Mytilus edulis: one gene and its partner. The protein of the gene in region 1 purifies or fractionates together with the protein of each later gene. This does not show direct contact. Links are inferred from orthologs where the notes say so. Each region holds a gene or a part of one and is shown on either strand. Other genes may lie near its edges.

Region 1 (10,967 bases):
CGTAGCCTCAACGAACTTGTGTTACTGTTGCTTGCATCGCATAAAGCTTACGTTACTGAAGACAAAATTGCAAACCGGATGTTTTGCAAAATTCTGAAACGAGCAATTCCGGGTTTAGTCTTGTTTATCAAATTCACAGGAAGTCAATTTTAATTTTTAACTTTGATAGTGTTTGAATTTGAATGATAATAGTTGCACTTGCTTTATTTAGCATGAAATAATTTTGAATTTACGATATAGTGTCTAATCGGCGGAAGAGGATTTTGACATGTATGCGTATTACATAGTAAACAAAGCACTTGTGTTAGTTATAGCGACAAAATACTTTTCTACTTATATAAAATCAAGTTTTAATTTAATTTTAAATCAGAATTGACAATTGTCTTAGCTGAAAAGTAATTAAATAATGAAGACAGTTGTTATGGAATTTTAATTTCTTTATAATTAAAAGTTCTGAGCTTGTGATCAATAGCCCCCGCAATAGCCAAGCGGCAAGTGTGAATTAAAAACACAGGTAAAGAGATTAGAGATCATTAGCCAATACTTCCCAAAGGCATCAATATAGTTATTAGGAGGGCCCTCATGATTATCACTCTATACTTGAGTGGCAGTTTTATTACAGGAAAGGGATAACAAAACTAAAGTTCAAAATGGCGATTTAGAAACTCGATCACAACGAAATGACCGAAATTATTTCTGTTAAAAAATAAAATATGTCCTAAATCCCAATTCCACGTTTAGGACAAACACTTTCAGTAAAGGTCAAGACTGTCAAATATGACCGTTTCCGGACCCTTGATACAAACATACATACCTCCATGCCTTCTATTTCTAAACCTTTCATTCCAAATTGGTCATACACTGGTCTTTTGTTTGGGTCAGTTAAAACTAAAATATAATATAATAATGTTCTCATCAACTAGTTCCAAAACTTCTAATAATTAAAATAGTTTTCTTAACTCCCAACTTTTTTCTTCATTTACAGGCACATACTAGTTTATTTTAATTTTAGACATTCTACAACTTATCTAGCATGTCTAGTTTGTTTTTGTTGATTCAGATTTAATTCTGTTTGCTGTTCAGAGATTCCAATATGGTAAGAGCAATTTTATGACAATTTACATGACATTGACGCTATTACCTAACAAATGCCCAAGCAATCTTTGTCACTTATAAATCTGTTACATCTCATAATAATAATTAGGTATACAGTGCATATATTCTCATCAATGCAAGTTGTCATGTCATCTACATGCAAATAAAAGAGATTTCCATTTGAATATAAGTGAAATAATTAAGACATGTTTGAGAAATTAACCTTAGAGCACATACATGACATGTTGAGATATATGGTCTGAATACCAAAAAATATTAAATATACGTCATGGAACCCAGGGAGTGAACTTGGAAACTCCAATTATGGGAGGGTGTAAAGTACAGTGAAATTGTTTGTAAAATTCTTAATTTGTCTCTTTAGGTAATACCCAATTTTGAATGTATTTTTCCTGCTTTGAGTCACTCATCTCCATACAATGCTACATGTACATGATGCATATATAAATGAGCTTTTGAAAATTCATCTTTATTTTATCGTTTACCTTCATGAGCTTTCTTGATTTTATTGAACATGTTTTCTGCATGCTTCTTTTTTTTATCATCTAAATGTTTGTCTGGGTGGAAGATTTTACTGTATCTACGAAACGCTGTATTGATTTCATCTGTGCTAGCCTGAAATATAAACAAACTTCTGGTTAACATGGTTAACTTAACCCTTACCATGCCGTGACTGTCATATGGCAGGCATACCCAAAACAACGTTATTTGGCTCCAATGGCGTTCCATTCTTTTAGAAGTCCACTTTATGAGGCCTAAAATAAAATTTCATTTGTTTGGCATTGCCGCCCGACCCACTGAAAAACTTGCCGCCCAAATAATTTTATTTGCGTTTCAGAAATTTATTTTTTTTTATTTAAAAAAAAATCGAAATTGTGCCGGAATTTGATTGTATCCGCCGAGTTTGTTCCTGGCTTTACTTTTTTCAAATCACGATCTTAAAAGCGCTTGCCTTATTGGGAGCAAACATTTAAATGACATGGAATAGAAAAAGTTTGCCAAAAGTAATGTCAAAGAGGCCGGCAGGGGAAAGCATCAATGCATTGGTTAAGGGAGATGGATTTTATCAAAAATCAAATGTTCAGCTATTCTTTGAAAGAAACGTTCTGAGAGACTTTGTAGAGGACTCAAGTTTTATCTTTTGTAAAGGCTAAAAGCAGAAACAGATGATTTCTGCTCGACTTTGTCGCTTCATGAGATAGAAGTTTTTCTCCGGGACATCACAGAACAAATATGCGTGGCTCTTACATTTGTTGAACTTATTAAATATTTGAAATGTATCATTGACAAATTTTCCCTTGAACCAGAGAACAAAGTATCTACTATAGTCAGAACCACAATGATGCATTCAAGATAATTATGGCTGTAAGCACTAAAGCCCATAGACCAAAACGGTCCCAGATTTACAGGTTTATAGTAGTTTTGTACCAGTAGATGCTAGCCTGGTACAAAACATACATATTTTAAAGACTAGCATCTTGTGTCAATTGAAGTACTTCCCCCTTTTCTTGCCTTTCTTCTTAACATGAATAAAATAATTCTTAAAACATAAAAGATACTGACAGAAACATATTTATAAATGTATCTAGTGTACTAGTGATGAATAAAATCCCTTCCTTTTCCACAATTCTAAGGGCTCATTAATTTATCTGTATTCATGTAATGCATGTCCAGATTTCTGTTAATCAAACAAGCATTACAACCCATAATTTATTTATCTGCAAAAATTGTCTGTCCTGCTGCATATTTCCATTTTGAATTTATCATACATTTTAAACCTATAGCCCTGAAAAACCTTGCACTAATGGATAATATTAGTATAAACACCATGTCTATTTGTGCCAACCTTCCAAATTTTTAATATTTTGCTATCCTTATTTGGTACAGATCCTATATCCTCAAAACTTATCAGGGGCAGTAGGCGTGTTTGTATGGTAGTTCGTCACACCTTTCATGTATGATTACTAGCCTCTAGGTATTGGTTTGAGCCCTAGTTGGGCAGTTGCAAAATTAAGGTTTGATTTTCATGTCATATGTGATAAGGTTAGTCAGTTTCTTCCCGCAGGTTGCCGCCGTTTTCCTTCAAGTACTACGGTTTAATAGTATGCCAACAAAACTGACTGCCATGAAATTACATACGGTGTAGAAAGTGATGTTTATAAAACCAAAGCAAACAATAAAAGTTTTAAATCTTTGTCCATTTGTACAAGGAGCCGTAGTGGTTGAGCCATTTAACTTATGGTAATTTTACCAAACTGTGACCACAAGATGTGACATCAGGCCTCTGTTCAATTGGCAGTCCCACAATAAAAGTTCAATTTTCACGTCATACATTGTACATTTTATATGGTTAATTTGTCAGTTTCCTGCCTCAGTTCTGTGTTTTTTTCTGGGTCCTTTGGTTAACTCTGCCAACAAAACTGACTGTCTTACATGAAATTATCCATATGATGTAGAATGTGACATTGACGGTTGACCCCGTTCAAAGAAACCACCAGCATGTACACACAACAATGCTGCAATGCTTTAGACAACATTGGTCTAGAGACTTCATGATTTACATGTATAAAGCTTTTAAATGTAAAAAAAAAAAAAATCCCTACCTACCTACCCACCTGCTGATAGTGTACATGTGGGTCGGCAATGCCAAACAAACAATTTTTTAAGGGTGGCCTGATACTTATGTTAAAATCTATGCATGTTCTGTCAACCTGAGGCTATCCATATTCATGTTTCTCATGTACAAATGATGTATAAGTTGCATTTTGAGCACAAATACGGTCTTGGAAAATTGAAATCGGCTGAAACTCGGTTTTCTGGAGGGGTGGGCTTCACATCTGTGTCTTACACAGAAAGTTCAGAGTCATAAAACTTGCAAAACTAAAATATCTGACGTCACAATGGAAAATTGATTTTGTATGACGTCAATACATGTAGCTCAAGCCGAACATATTTAGAGTTCAACTTGGACAGATAGTCAGATTTCCAAACAGCAATAAGGTGTATGCAGACATTAGAATACACCTTATCTCTATTTGTCTCTTATCCTAGAAATCACACAGGTTCCCGTAAAGTTTTGACGTGATAATACAAGATATCTGACGCCACAATGGAAAAGTGATTGTTGTACACCTTATCTATATTTGTCTGCAATTACTGGATATCATACTGGTTCCTAACTAATCATTTACTAATATACTGTATACATTCATTTCAGGTATCAGTCATCCTTATTATTAAAGCTATAAACCTAGGAAGATGTTGACTCTCATTTATGACTGATACCGACAAGAAATCGACAACTCGACTAAGGTAGCAGGAGCTACACCTGTTCCTGGTTGAAACGTATTCTCTGCCATATTATTTTTGTTTACCGTCGTATAACAAAATATCTGACGCCACAGTTGAAAAGTGATTGTTGTAAGACGTCAAAAGTTCAAGCGGCCGGGTCAGACGGGATAGCGATAAGGTGTATAGACTAAAGTTCAAGCCGGACAGATTCTCATGTCAGCTGGGAAAAGCAATAAGGTGAATAGAAAGCCGTTTTATTAATCCCATGTATAGTTGCAAGTTTTATGAGTTTATACGTATTTCTTGACATTAAAACTTGACAGACTTATCCAGATGCAGAAATTACATACAAAAATAAATGAAAAATGTGCATGATGTAATTCAATGTCAAAAGGGTCAGTTTAGTCAAATATGTGGCTTTAAATTTGAAATCAAAATAATTTGTCATAAACAGTTCTTAAATGATAAAATTGCTATATTAATACCTTTCGCTCGACGTTTAAAACAGCATATAAATCTTCAGATGCAAGACCATCTTCTTCCATGAACGCTGCCATTCTTCAATCTGGTACCCTACAAAAATACAATAGAGAGCAAAGGCATAAATATGCTGTTTGATACCAGGCCGATAGTCAAACTGGTTTACGTCCTACAATACCAGTATGTATAGGTCATGATTGGGGTCATGTTGTTTTTATGTAATGGTAAAGTTTACGGCTATGCTGAGGAGCATCGAGCATACACATTTCAAGAAAAACAAAGAAGATTAGGCTGATTAATGTGACGTAGTTGATATATGATATATTGCTGATGTATATTTATTTATGTCTAAATAATTTATGATTTTATTAAGCAAAAACTAAAAAAGCAGGATTAGAAAACAGCTGTTATATGCACAAGGATAAACAAAAATCGAATTATAGTTAACCCGTACCAATGTAAACTCGTACCAACGTTAACTCGTACCACTAAAATATAACTCGTTCCAATGTAAACTCGTACCACTGCTAACTCGTACCAACTTATTTAAATGCATTTGATTGGTGTTTAATTATGAATGTAAGCGGGTCTCACTAATTAGCGACAACAAGCGTCAACAAGCGACAACAAGCGTCAACAAGCGACAAGAAGCGACAACAAAATTTATTTTAGCGACAACAAGCGACAAGAAAACTATTTAGCGACAAGAAAACATTTTTTTTTTATTAGATATAAAGAAATTTGTATGTAATGTTTTTTTTTTAAATATACGAGCAGATATGTCTAATTAAAATGTTTTATTATATAGATAAGATAAGATAACTTTATTAGCACTAACACATTGACAATAAATGGTTATGGCAACAAATTAAAGACTAACTACAATAACATATATACAATGAAGGAGTGACAGTGGATAATTATGAGAGAAATATATAAAAAATAAATGAGAAGCATATACATGATTACAAAAATCAAGTACCTTTTAATCCATGCAACAAGCATTCATTCAAATAGTTGACAACAATTTTTAATATTGTTTGGGAATTACTATTTAGAATTGATATAAGCAAGTTATATGATAAGGAAGAAAATTTGTTGTTCAATAGAACATTATTTAATTTTTTAATAAGGTTATCTCTCACATATTTATAGGAGGAACATTTTAAAAGAAAGTGAAGTTCATCTTCAATGTCTCCATTGTTACAGATAGACGAAGAAATGAAACATTTGTGAGAAAGAAAGAGATTGTGAAGTTTATATTAGTATATTGGTAGATGAAGAAATTTAACATTTGTGAAAAAGAAAGAGATTGAGCTTCTTTTTTTTAATTTTTAAATATGAAGAATATGTATAAGATAATGTATGAATCTGTTTTCATCAAAGTCAAAGTATGAATAAACGAATGGAGATACATATGGAGCGGGCATAATGGAATATAATATTTTGATTCATTTGCTTAATACTATGCTCTAAGTGTACTCTTGTTATGTCAATTCGATGCTTTATTTGTAAAACTCTCAGCCACGCTTTGCCATCTTTATTATTTAAGCGTGTTTTCAGAGCCCACGACGAGGACGTGGTTCTACCTTGGGGTCCATATACAGATCACGTACTTTTGCGGAAAAAACCCCCCAAAAAAAAGGTCAACTTTCCTTTGAAGGATTTATTGAAACAAAAACATGAAATATTATTTCCTTTCTAACAGTATAATTCATTGTTCTTGATAGGAACAACATTAGATGTGGCTTCACCTTAAGGTAATAACAGTACACACAATGTGGAACATCAAATGAGATTAACGAGTGGCGTGTCCCCTGTTTTATTGCTACAATAACATCCAATTAACACCTTCAACTTTGTACACACGTCAGACTATACAATTACACGCGCCAGACTATACAATCATTGTAAATAGTGAACACCTGTTGAAAACTCAAGATTGTCATTAATTTCCTTTCATCTTCAATCAATATGCATAAACATGATAAATATCGTTTAATGAGGCAATAAACAAATAAAAAGATGAAAACATTCACATTTCAATTTTCTTTTCCTCCTGTTTGGTTTCAGTTCTTTGTATTTCACAATTTGTGTCAATATTTTCAGGACAATGATGCACAAGTAATTCATTTTGCGAGCTTAATACATATTGCACGAAAAGAGTTTTAAAATACAAATTATAAGATAAATAATATGTTCTAAAACACAAGGAAAAGTAATCTCATAATACAATAATTAAACGTAATACTGGCTGTTATTCATAATAGATGATAAAATATTATGTAAATAATGTTTCATTTTTTTCTATCAATTTTAACTTTCTTGTCGCTAAAATTATTTTCTTTTGCATATTCTTTTAATATTTATTGCAATAATTAATTTTAATTAAAAAAAATGTTTTCTTGTCGCTAAATAACAGCTAAATAGTTTCTTGTCGCTGTTTGTCGCTTAAATAATTCTTGTTGTCGCTTCTTGTCGCTTGTTGACGCTTGTTGTCGCTAAAATTCTTGTTGTCGCTAATTAGTGAGACCGATGTATACTGTTATTTTTCTCAAAACCTCTTAAGTCTGTAAAATGTTTATAATTTGAAAGTAAAATGACTAGTCTGTAGCTAATGTTCCATGTGTATTAGATATAGACAATACCTTGGCAGATTTGATTTGTTGTCTCCCTTGAATCATTCTTTTTTAAACTTATACTGATAACCATTGGATTTAATTTTTAATCATTCCAAATCAGTTACATTGAATAGATTTGTCTACTTTTCTTTTGTTTCTCGAAGGAATTTTATTCACTGAAAGAATTAATTTAGTGTGTTTTAAAGGTTGTAAATTGTTTATGACCAACATGTTAAAAGTATGAATTTTTTTATATATAATATTTTGCACGAGATCTCATGTAGATACTCCATGATGGTACGAGCCAGACGGTTGATGACAGCCAAGTGTTCTTTACGTAGGCGTCAAGCTCTTTTGTTCTGGCAGATTTTGCTTTGGTGGCAATGTCCTCAAAGGTAGTAGGGATGTGTTCTGCCGGTAGAAATGATAGGGCCATGAGATTCTTGACAAACTTGTACACAGTGTCCTTCTGGTAGTAGGCTGTCTGAAATAAAATGAGATGTTATGAATAATGATATATCAATAAATAATATATATTGAGAACTAAGAAAACTATCAATATAGTATAGATATTGTTTATTGAAGACGTTGATAATATATATGTCAACATTATTGTAACAATTATAAAATCATTGTAAAAAATTACTTTGCTCTTCATGGCCCCTTTAGTTGGAATAAGAATATCTTTATATGTATTTGCAATCATGTTCTTGTTTCTCATTATCAATTTTACTGAATCTACGTATTCAATATTTTTCATATTTATTACATCAAATGAATATCGTATATTAATTAGCAGGGTAATAAGGTAATTAAGACCATTTATATTAGTATCTTAATAAAAAAAAAACGTATTTTTGTCCAAGTTTTCATTAAAATCCAGTATAAAATTACAGTAATTCAACTTTTTTTAATTAATTTTAGAAAGAAAAAACACCACAAAACATTTTTTTTAATGGTACGACTTCCCAGTGGTACGACTTTAAGTTGGTACGAGTTAACTTTTTTGGTACGAGTTAACATGGTACGAGTTTCCGTTGGTACGAGTTAACTTGCTTCCACAAAATCCTTGCTATAGAAATTTGTGTGTTTAGGTATCTTAAACTGGCCACATGCAACATTTTACAAACATTTTATTGTGAATCGTTTTTCAGAAAAAAATTGCCATTAGCCTTGCAAGATGTCATAATTATTGGTACTACAGTCAATACAGTAAGACCTGATCAAAGCTAAAAAAAAAAAAAAAACCATTTGAAGATGTCATAATTATTTGGACTAATAATTTGTCTCATGAAATTATACCCGGCTAGCTCAACAGTTTACTTAAGACAGTGGATGCATGTACCCACATGAGTGGATGCGTATCCAATTTGGCTTTCGGAGGCTATTCATACACGCAACTGATTTTATAAGAAACTGTCACATGATCGGGAATGAAACGTGAAAGATACACAAAAAATATTGGTTATAGAATGCAAATAATAAATAATATTTTGTATTAAATGCATTCAATAGTTATAGAAAAAAAGAATTAAACGTAAATGCACATTAAAAGAATAAAATTATACTGAATTTGAATAAAATATGTTAAAAGAAAAACAGACACTTAACCATGTTAACCATATTTGTTCTAGGTTATTTCTGGGTAAATAAAATAAACAATATGATAATTATCATGATTATTTTACAGAAACAGAGAAGTAAACACTAAAGATGATTTGAGAACAACAGTCATCATCACAGGTCTTGTTGTTTTGAGGAGAACAGTCATGATATTCACTGATACAGTCACCTAGGAAATGTTACAAAACAGGATACACATATTACATCAACATGTTCATTTATTACCACAGAAAAATACATTATCCCGCTCAAACATCAGCACATATCAACGATCTTGTCGCTGTAGTAAAAGACGGACTTCAGTCAATGTGATGTCTACATTTACATTTTGTTGTAACAGGCTTATTTCAACTGCTCTGGTAGCAAGGTCTTTAAGTTGTTGTGATAAATTTACCTTAAACAAAATGATAAATGTATCTAGGGTTAATAGCAGAGGATCACATGTCATTTTATCCTACTTCTCCATGTCAGGTTCAGGACAGAAAGAAGCAAATTTGAGAGGAAAAAACAAATTGCATCAGAATTTTTCTTCAGTTTTATGCTTGAAAAGAAAGGTATTTGTCTGTGGACAACACTTCATTTCCACCAGTAGTATTAATTGTCAGATTGGTTATAAGCTAAAAAACAATGTCAAAGACTGTTATTCATTATTTAACCTGTCACCTGACTGTACGGAGGAGGAGTTACGAGAGGCCTATCTACGACTGGCTAAACAGTATCATCCAGACAGTGGGACATCAACAGCATGTCCTCGCAAGTTCTCACAGATTCAGGATGCTTATAAAGCCATAAGGGTATGATCAGTGGTTTCATCAATTGAGATTGAGATCCTATAAAAAAATATCCAGAATTCAATGTGTGTGAAATGCATGATGATATATTAAACAAGATCAATGGGCAGTAATGGAATCTGTTTCTCTAATGCATTTTTAGAGCATAGGTTATATGTTTGCAAACTTTTTTCAATTGTAAACCTAAAAAATATTTGTGTCTTTGGTTACATTACTATATGGCATAAAGAAATCATAAGAAAGGAAGAAAATTAAATGTTAAAATTGATTTTTTTTTAATTGAGAAATAATAATAGACTACATTTGTAGCTATAAAATGTAAAAGCACCATCCAATATTTGACACAGTAAATTTCATATATTTTAAGTGTGGCATAGTGGCAACACATTTTCTGATCATTGTAAGTTAATAAATAACTATTTTTTTTCTGCAGGCAAATATGAGAGCTGATCTACAGATGCCAGTTGACATGGTTGAAGAGCAGGAAGAGGGTATATTTGACTTTCCACACACACTACCTCAGCATAGACAATACCTTGGTAATGAGGTATGTACACACACACACACTGAGATTGATACATTCAATTTCCATGGAGATTACAATGTATTCGACTTGGCTCCTCAGTCATGACAATTTTGCATAATTTACATGTAAAAAAAATATGATTAGGTCTGAGTTTAAAACCTCTATTAGTATTAAATGGTAGGTAATTATTTTTTGGTAACTGTATGCTTTTATACATTGTATAAGCATAAACACATCTCATTTGCAAGATTTCATGGTCCCGTTCTCAGTGATGGTTCAGTGACATTTTGATTTTTCTTATGCCCCACCTACACATGTACCTACGATAATAGAGGGGCATGATGTTTTCTGGTCTATGCATCTGTTCGTCTGTTCATTAGTCCGTCAGTCTGTCTGTCCATCCATCCTCTGTCCCGCTCAAGGTTAAAAATTTTGGTCAAGGTAGTTTTTGATGAAATTAAAGTCCAATGAACTTGAAACTTAGTTCACATTTTCACTATGATATGATCTTTCTAATTTTAA
Region 2 (10,587 bases), on another chromosome or scaffold:
CAAACTTTAAATAAGTAGTTGTTGATATAGATCAACTTTTATGGTGCATTGATCATTTTAGTAATTTCAAATTCATTTACAATTACTTTTCAAGTAAATTACACCATTTATTTTTACTACAGCTATATCTAAAATTCTGTTTGTATTTACTTAATATTCTTTTATGCATATCCTCTGGTAGTGTTGTTCAACTGTGTAAAGTTTCATCAAAATTAGTCTAGCCATTAAAGAGGAGCTGTGCTTACAAGTTATTAACACATTGATATACTGCCCTATTGATATACATGAACATATATATAGTTGTCAATCTCTTGTAAAAAATGAATGGTTAAGGGAAGTAACTCTAGCTCCTTAAATTGTAAACAGACCATGAGATGGAAATGTTGTGGGTAAACAGCCAAAAATGTGTGTATCAGCGGAAGGAAATAAATTTTAAGACAACTAGTAAGAAACCGACATTGTGTCTGTGGTTTATCATGTATATTGGAATTAACATAATCTGCTAAAATATTTGCGCTAATATCTAATAATTATTTTCTTATATGATTGATAGATCCATTTTTATCTTACTTAATAGTTTCAGAAGTTGGTATTAACTGAAACAGAGCATCAAAAGCATCTTTACTGTATGGTACATTGTCTTCTATCTGTTTCCTGAAGTTAGAATCATACCAGGCATACCCTACCACTCCACCAGCTGCTAAGGTTGTCAACCCAAGAAACTTGAAGAAACCACCACCTTTCCTGGAAAACAATTTACAATTATTAATGTACATTTATATTTATATGTAAAAGTACTCAATTCCTTGCAATTGGGAGTATGTAATATGGCATGTATATATGGTGTCAACTTAGTTCTGTTAAATGAATTTCAGTTCCCTTGCACTAATAAGTTTTAAGCATAGCGTGCTTTCAGAATTGCTTAAATTGTGCCATGGGTGCATCAGAAGTTTATGTATACATGATATGCATCAAAGTTGTATCTTTTGTATCAATTTCATATTTCAGTATTTATAAATCTTTCTGGTGAATTAATTTTCCTTCTATTTTATATATTCTATATGTATTATACATGAAATGTATATATATCATATATATATGTAGGACTCTAAAGTGCGATGGTACTCTAAAGTGCGATGGTCACGCTAAAGTGCGATGGTCTACGCTAAAGTACGACGGTGTCTCACGCTAAAGGGCGATGTTTGTTTGTTGGCTAAAGTACGATGGTATGGCACGCTAAAGCGCGATGGAACAAATGAGAAAGGTTCAAGGGCACTAATGTCAAAAACAAGTCTTTTTGCAAAATCTAGTTTGCAATGATTTAACATATAATGCGATAGGCTTTTACTTTACCGGTAGTCTTATGTGACTGTTTCTGAATTTAGAAGACTGACCTAGTTATCATTGCTAAAAAGGTTATTTAGGTGTCACAAAATACTATATTTCATTTAAATGATTTTTTAACAATTCGGGCGTATTGGATTGGTTGTTGGTTGCTTAACGTCCAGTGACAAATATTTAATGCATGTTCAGGACGAGGGGCGTATTAAATAATTGGTGTAGCTTGCCGTTTACGCAGCCTATTAATGTGAACATCCCCTTGTCAGTTGCAAATACAAAATTCGGTCATTGTCGGAATAAATTAAATTTATTTGTACAAGCTTTGATTTAAATACGACAGAAGGGGGTTGTTGTTCGAGCTTTCCACTTTTTCGTAGCGAGTGTTATGTTTTAATACAATGTACACACTGAAGTTTTAATGGACAAGTTATGATTTACGCTTGCAAACGTGTACCTTTATTTTACCGACGTTTATACTCTGCAATAAAATCGACAATATTTTAACGTAAACCAAGGATTTGTATAAACGAAAACATTAATATGCATCTGTTCGCTTCCATTATTTATTTCATCTTCCGTCATGTTCATTTTTAGTTTGTATAAACGACTGTTAACGTCATAATCCGACTACGTTTTGTACGTCTATATTTTCCCGGACCATCGCACTTTAGCGTATGGAAGCATCGTACTTTAGCATAGACCATCGCACTTTAGCGTGACCATCCTACTTTAGCGTCCCCATCGCACTTTAGAGTCCTACATATATATGCAAATTACACTTGGTTGAGTAAACATGTAGTTTAATCGCTACTTGTATAAAAACATGTCTAGTAAATTCAATATTTATCTTTTATTAAAGTTTGAAGTAAAATAGTTTTTTAAATAGGCAATCAATTTCAACTATATCTATCCATGTGGACAGCAACACTTAATATTTTTATAAAAGATATTTGTAGATGAGTTTGTTTTACAGGTATTATCCTGCTGATAGACAAATTATACTTTGGTGGTGGTGGCGGTGGTTGTTGTTGTTGGTTAGCTTCAAATGGTGTTGATAGAGGAGGCTGAGGAACCACTGGCGGCTTTGTACTTGTAGATCTTCTTCCATGAATCTATAACAAAACAAAGAATGAAATAAATCTTTTTCATATGTCTTAAAATGTTATCCAGATTAAAATGTTACAAGCAGGAAAATCATGTAAAGACGGTGCTTGTCATTTTGAAATTCTTAAAAATACAATTTGCTTGGTCTGTTTGGTCTGCCATTAAGATTGATTGACACTTAATGGAATGTTTACAAAGCTGGAGGCTACAGACATGGAAGAGGGATTTTCTGAATTTCTAAAATGTTTATAGGCATTTGAAGTCAGGTTTGAAATGGCCATTAGAAAATCTGCATTTCTGTATAATTCTTAATATGCTTAAGAATAACCATGATAACAATGAAAACGTATCTAAAGAATGGTTGTTTTATTCGGCATGTTTATGCGGTATGGGCTTTGCTCATTGTTGAAGGCCGTACAGTGACCTATAGTTGTTAATGTCTGTGTCATTTTGGTCTTTTGTGGATAGTTGTCTCATTGGCAATCATACCACATCTTCTTTTTTTTATATTAGAAGATATTAAAAAACATATTCTGCACTAATTTTGTATGCTGGTATTAGCTTAGAATGCAGAATTTTTCGGTGTGATAAGTACAATTACTAAGTCCTTACCAACATGATGACTGATTATTCAGATTATATCCTGAAATGGTGATAAGTCGTTCATCTAGGCACATTTTTTCTTTTTTTTTCCCTGTAGACTGAGCTTTGTTTTATTATTACCATGTACAAATGTATTGACAAGCAGGGTTACTCATCAATTTTTCTCAGTCACTGAATGTACTATGTATGCCATACTAAAGATGCTGACCCTGTAAAGGGCCTGTTTGTTTACATTCAAATACCAATGGTGTCAAAACCTTGTGATGCATTGAATTCATTCTACCCAATCAAATGGTTTATTATCAATTAGGTGATTTTTTTAAAGACTGAGGCAATTATATTATTTGTTGGAGTGATATTGCTTTGAAATAGTTTGCAATAAATTGGGGGGTTTATTCAATAAAAAAAAACATTTTTAGCCATGAATTTTGACATCAATGGAATTTTATATGAATATTTACCTATGGTCATGATGGTCAGTATATTGATCTTTATATATTGATTGATTTTTTTTTTATGAAAAATATATGTATATACATATTGTTTTTTAATAACCTACTCTATATTCCTGAACAAAATTATGGCATGAACATATTTTTTCCCTAAGTTTTCCTTTCATTTTGGATTGGTTTTTTTAGAGTTAAAATTGTGTAAGACGTAAGGTGCCTGTCATTTTGAATTTCTTAAAAATACCATTTCCTTGGCCTGTTTTGTCTGCCACTAAGATTGATGAAGCTGAATGGAATGTACACAAAAGCGATGGAGCCCGTAAGTGGGATTTTTTGAAGTTCTGAAATGTTTTAAGGCATTTGGAAGTCAGGTTTGAAACAGCATTAAGAAAATTGGCATTTTTAGCAATAATTAAGAATAACAGTGAAAACGTATCTTAAGAAATGTTTTTATATTTAGAAGAGTAGAAAAAACCTCTTCTGCACTATTTTTTTACGCTGCCGCTAGTGGGACATAGTGACATGATTGCTTGGTTTTCCCATGTGATAATTACAATAACAAAGTCTGAACGAACCAACAAAATGACCGACAATCAACTAGGTAGGATCGACTATAGACTAGGTAGGATACTGGTAATTAAACCAATGAACACAGGGGAAAAGTCAATATACAAACTGAGAATTTGTTACAGTGAGACTGTGTGTTCATTCTTTGTGGGTCTCATTGGGGTCTAAGTGTGATGCCGGATAGCCGATTGTTTGTAAACGTGACACGTGAAAGTCAATTTATTGTGCCATGAAAACGGGAGATGAAGTCTAGCGGGACACAGGAAATTACAAAAAATGAGAATTGAATGCGTACATAGTGTAAGCGGGATACGGGAATCTGACAAAACAGTAAGCAATATCCGGGATCGGAACCCCCCCAATGAGACCCTCTTCATTATTTAGGTATCCCATAGCATAGAAGTGTCCAATGGCACCATGGCACTTAAGTTAAGACTTTAATGACAGATAATTTGGCATGACATGTTGTCCAGTACTGATTTTAATCAGCTGAAAAGGGAATCCTTAGAAAAGAAGATATTTGGCATCCTCAGTTCACTTACTAACCTTGATTTTGGGGGGCACTCTAGATGTTGTCCTCCACATTGCTAATCAGTAGGACACCGGCTCTTCAATTTGACTTCCGGTAACCTTCATCAACGACTTTTGTACTCAGCAGATGATTTACATTGTAAGTTTGTGCCGAATCTGAATAGTAACAGATAAAACTTAAACCCAAACAAAAAAATTTGATTGTAAAGCACCATAATGTACAGTTTCATACTGATACCAGTATCAACAAATGAAGGGAAAAAAACACAGAAATAAACCCAAAGCTTAATTAAACTAATGAATCAATGTATTATATCTTATTTTTCTGTTTACCAACGTAATATTACTTAAAAGATCTTTTTCCCAATGTGTATATATATATAGGACGCCTGCGTGTGTGAGAATTTCTCGCTGCATTATAGACCTGTTGGTGACCTTCTACTGTTGTTTGTTCTATGGTCGGGTTGCTGTCTCTTTGACACATTCCCCATTTCCATTCTCAATTTTATAGGCCATGAGACAACACGTCAGTTTTGACTGAGAGAAGAAAATCATCAAGTGCCACGCCACAGTCTAATTAATATATGGAAACTTTATGGTTGTCATATTTAATAGTCATACTTTTGTCATTTTCAAATATCAGAGACATATATGTCTCTGCAAATACATATTGAAGTGAAGTTTATTAGAAAAGTGAGATGACAAAGAAGAATTTCAAAAAGAGCTGGTAAAATCATTTCAGTCTGTCTGTTTATAACTGACAATTTTAGAAAGAATACTAAAGAAAATAAAACTGTTTTTATTAGGCACAGCTGGCTACGATTATATTGAAATTTTACAATAATAAAAAAAAATGTTACATTGGGGACTTATTGTCGGAATGCAGGGTTGGGCAAGGAACTGATTAATTACGAATGTAACAATAATAATTATGCCTACGATTAAATTGCGTTGTTGTTACATTAAATCATTATTATTGTTACATCAATTCCATGTAACTTTAGCCCGAGTGCCTTCTTATTGGACAGGAGACTAGTCAATTAACTTCGATGGTGTGTTATATTTTCCCCACTGATTACTCTGATCCACAATTTGACGAAAAAAGTATTCTGGTCAAGCAGATGACAAACAAAATAGAATGAAATTCAAAACAGTGTAGCTGTGGCCATTGATTGACACATTAAAATCATCCATTGACTGGGACAATTTAGGTGAACGTTTGTATGTAACGACCAATGCTCACTATGTACTTTTTAAAGACACTTAAACTATGGGGTCACCAAAGGTTCTCAACACCTAAATAAAGTAATTCGAAAAATTAATCAGAAATAACACGATATTTTGATTTCTATCAATTATATAAATCAAAACACAAAGGTTATTCCTGATTAATTTTTCGAATTATTTTATAATTAAAGGCGTTAAGAAACCTTTGGTGACCCCACAGTTTAAATGTCTATCGTAGGTACGTCGTGAACAGTGGTCGTTACAGACAAACGTTCACGTAAATTGTCCCAGTCAATGGATGATTTTAATGTGTCAATCAATGGCCACAGCTACACTGTTTTGAATTTCATTCTATTCCAAGTTTCCCGGCTATACCTTATGGTGTTAAATATTGAAAAAAAAATGATCGATAGGTTTTGGAAATATTTCTGACTCAGACAAAAAACCATACCCCCTTTAAAGTTAAACGGTTGCTCCCTTATATGATTAGCGTCGTCAGTTTTACTAAATGATATGTTTGTTGTATCACATGATTCAAAAATGTGTCTCAGGTTTTTAAAACTGATAAATTCCAGCAGAGCACCGACCATTCATCTGAGGAGCATGATTGTTCTTTTCTTAGTATATATCAGCATTATGAAATAAAACAAACTTAACGAAGTTTACGTTTTGATCAAGGACAGGCCTGGTTCTTCTATATACTCTTATTTATAGTTACTTACTTACTTACTTACTTACTTATATGTAATTTTGAAATCTAAAATATAAAAGTGCAACAACACTATCTACACACTACTTTTGATGTAGCATCGTATATATCCCCATTTATATGAAGGACAAAGAGTTATCAAAGGTACCAGGCTTATGATAAGCCATACGCGTAAACACGAAATTTATAAAAATGACCATATAATTGATATTCTTGTCAACACCTAAGTGCTTACTACTGGGCTGGTGATACCCTCGGGGACGAAACGTCCACCAGCACTCACTGAACTTATACATGTATGTAAGTCGGGGGTTGTTTCTTTAATCTGATCACTCTTATTCGTATCAATGCTAGGTCCATTACAAGTCGTTGGTACTTCAGAGGGGCTGATTTGTGGCGTTTCCTGAAGGAAAGAGGGTATAAGTTACTAAAAAATTTGAATGAACGAAACTTTTAGACAAACAGATGATGGAACGGGGGTATTCATTCAATATATAAAAAATAAAATTGAGAATGGAAATGGGGAATGTGCCAAAGAGACAACAACCCGACCATAGAAAAAAACAACAGCAGAAGGTCACCAACAGGTCTTCAATGTAGCGAGAAATTCCCGCACCCGGAGGCGTCCTTCAACTGGCCCCTAAACAAATATATACTAGTTCAGTGATAATGGACGCCATACTAATTTCCAAATTGTACACAAGAAACTAAAATTAAAATAATACAAGACTAACAAAGGCCAGAGGCTCCTGACTTGGGACAGGCGCAAAAATATTTATGTGACTTTAAAACTTTAAAATTATTTTTGAATTTTGGCATCACAGTAAAAAAATATTATTGGTCGAGAAAAGTTATTATACAAACTTTAAAAATTTAGATAAACGTAATGTAAAAAAGTATAAATTATCTGCTAAAAACATCTAAGATTGAGGACTGTCTCTTCATTTTTACACCTTAATTAACATCAAAGAAATCGATCAAATAATTAGCGATTGTTGATTACATGTTCATTGTATAAACATACCTGTCAAAGTACATGTATTTAGCCTTAAGGTAAGTAATGACAACTTTATGACTGGTGATTACGATAGACAAATTGATTTGATCGACGAATTTATTTTTCAAAATGTTCAAGGTGCACCACTTTTTGGTACATGGTGCACCATTTTTGCAAACCCAGGGGGTGGTCACCGGCACCGGGTGACCACCCCCTGGATCCGCCTCTGAGCAGTGGCATAGACCCAGTGGTGTAAATAGTTGTAAAGTGTAGCAGGAACAATTCTGCCTAAGATTCGGGGATGCGGACCACAGCTAATTCTAGTTTGTAAACTGATGTGTGCGGAAAACGACTGATGCCAAAAGTGATGCGCTATAATATATCTAAGTAAATGAAAACCAAAAACTGAAAACAATATATAATTTAATCAACAAAGTACAACTTTTATTATGTAAAGCCAAAAGTGTAGAAATGGAGCATTCATTATGATTTCACATTATCATACTAAGGAGGCATGTAGCAGATGCACTAACCTAAACTCTGGTTGGAAAGCCTGGCTTTCCTTGGTAGGACTGAATGTCAGTCCTCAGAGGATTCAAAATAAGAATCTAAAAGTACTTATATAAAATATATAAATTTCTCACAGAAGGTAACCAAAGAATTTGCAACGATGCAAATATTAAACTTTACAATATAAATAAATATCTTTAACCAATGAATTAAAATAGCAAAAGCTATGTAATTTAACAAATATATCCTCAATAAGCTTCATGTAAATTAATTAACAATGAAATACATCAAATATGAAATTTAGAGTTTTACCAAAGGGAGCTAAAAATTAACTAATAACTCTGTCTGCTACATTCCTCCCCCCTAAGACAAACGAAAAATTTCATCAATTAAAGTCTGCAAACTGAAATGTCTATCAAATTCATGTATCTGCATCAATATGTACGCAAAATCCAAATGTCAGGATCAAACATTAAATCCAAAATACATCAGTTTAAGTTGAATCACGAGACTGTTCAAGGAGACCGCAACACCAGTCTGATACCCTCCTCCTCCCTTCGAAAACAAATGTATATGAAATAACATTTGACGGTGAAATTTAACAAAAGTCCATCAACGTTCATCAGATAAAATGTCTTTCAAGCAAATGTAAAACTATCACTTTTAGATAAATGTCACTGTTTAACACATACACAAACAAACATCGGCATCAGTTTCAAAGGATAACGGACGCAACTTGAGGTCTTCTTTGTAAGTAGGCTTCAGAATCAGTGGAACGGCATATAGGATAAGGCACAGCTAACGGTTGAAATCCAACATGAAAAGTTATACCAGGCAATGTCCACCAATGTTGATCTCACAGTGGCACATTTGACGTGTACCACCGGGTTCTTTTACTGCATTCCAACGTTGTTGATAACGGTAACACAGACGTTGTGCCACCGGAGATGGATCGGGTCCATCTGTATGCAAGGTTCTCAAAATAAAGTTAAACGATGCCCAAACTTTACATGGTACCAAATAATGGATCAGATCCATCTGTATAGGCTAGAAGTGTTCCTAACTTTAAGCTTAACTTTCACTCTATTGGTTTCTGCCATGACAAAAGTCAAGAAGTCGGTCTCCTGTAAACTCTCCAAATAATAAATAATTGGCTAGAGATTACAATCCAGACAAACGAGCAACAACTCATAAAACAAACCAATTCCTACTTAATACTAGCTAACAGTCTACACTTCAAACTACACAGAGGATCAGCCATAATTCAAGCCAGTATTGAAAATGAAAAATAAAACAAGTTGGGATGTGCGCCATCCCTCCCTTTGAAAAAAACCCAAACAGTCAAAACTGAGACGCATGACACCTATGAGTACATTGACATAAAAATAAAGTATAACTATATATTTACAACACAATGTAAAAACAACCATATTAAACAAAGGTAACACAATCTGAACTACAATGATCATTCCTCAACATCCCGCCTATTTCTGAGAGCTTTACTTGACTATCTGCAGACCTTTCATCTCTAGCATGAACTTTGATAGACATATTTGGACACTTAGACCTGACATGACCTGACTGGTGACATTTAAAACATCTCTTAGGTTTATGTTTCCTACGTGATTTCAATCGCCTTCTCAAAATATTAATTAAAATTTCAAAACTGTTATGAACTGTTTTACAACAATCTAAACTTTCTGTCTCATCAATAATCTCATGATCACCAGAAAAATGAACAGCTTCATATTCAATAGCTAGTGATAAAGCCTCATCTAAACTATGAGGATGCTTAAAAGTGACAAATTTAGCCATCTCAATATTCAAACATGATGTAAATAAGTCAGTAAAATATGAATCCAAATCTGAAAAATTATCAGGATAAGCCTTATGAGCAAGTATCTTGAAACGCTGACCAAATTCTGAAATTGTTTCATTTTCCTTCAAACTACAAACTCGCAGTTGAAATTTAAAATATGCCACCCTCTCCTTAGGATTGAACCTCTGAATGAGAACATTTTTCAAGCAGTCATAATCGTATAACTGTGGCCTCTTTAAGAAACGTAAGATAGTTTGAGCATCACCTCTCAAATTCATTATCAACTGACATGCCATCTCAAATTCATTCCACTGATTCCAAAGAGAAACTGTCTCAAAATGAACAAAATAATCTGTAATATCAATGCTTATACCATCAAACAAACAAGGTTTTTCTTCAAACCTCATCATAACTGAATAAACATTTACAAAATGAACCAAACTATGAAAATAAAATACCCCAGAAATAACTATTCAAAACTGCTCTGATTAGGACTGTCATATCCAGTAGCACCAATAACTGACTCAAATGTCTGCTCCATTTCTTATATATAATTTTGTTCAGTTACAAACCAGAAAAGCTGCTTTAGAATTCCACACCCCACCCGCACTACCAAATGTAGTAGGAACAATTCTGCCTAAGATTCGGGGATGCGGACCACAGTTAATTCTAGTTTGTAAACTGATGTGTGCGGAAAACGACTGATGCCAAAAGTGATGCGCTATAATAT

What was found. The genes of interacting proteins can lie anywhere in the genome.
Region 2: the proteins of dnaJ homolog subfamily C member 11-like (region 1) and MICOS complex subunit MIC60-like purify together in Homo sapiens (co-immunoprecipitation; 3 studies listed by BioGRID and IntAct, with this or other methods). This does not show direct contact. The link is inferred for Mytilus edulis from reciprocal best matches to the Homo sapiens genes DNAJC11 and IMMT.

The regions. Positions count from the first base shown.
Region 1 is NC_092356.1:64,900,211-64,911,177, reverse strand, and holds the start of dnaJ homolog subfamily C member 11-like, read right to left. Parts: upstream 5,005-10,967; 5' UTR 4,962-5,004; coding exon 4,890-4,961; intron 1,729-4,889; coding exon 1,599-1,728; intron 889-1,598; coding exon 815-888; intron 1-814. Other genes in the region: dnaJ homolog subfamily C member 28-like, read left to right, coding at 9,305-9,922, 10,353-10,466.
Region 2 is NC_092347.1:95,492,258-95,502,844, forward strand, and holds the start of MICOS complex subunit MIC60-like, read right to left. Parts: upstream 4,749-10,587; 5' UTR 4,650-4,748; coding exon 4,611-4,649; intron 2,454-4,610; coding exon 2,344-2,453; intron 745-2,343; coding exon 571-744; intron 1-570. UniProt on the Homo sapiens protein: Component of the MICOS complex, a large protein complex of the mitochondrial inner membrane that plays crucial roles in the maintenance of crista junctions, inner membrane architecture, and formation of contact sites to the outer membrane.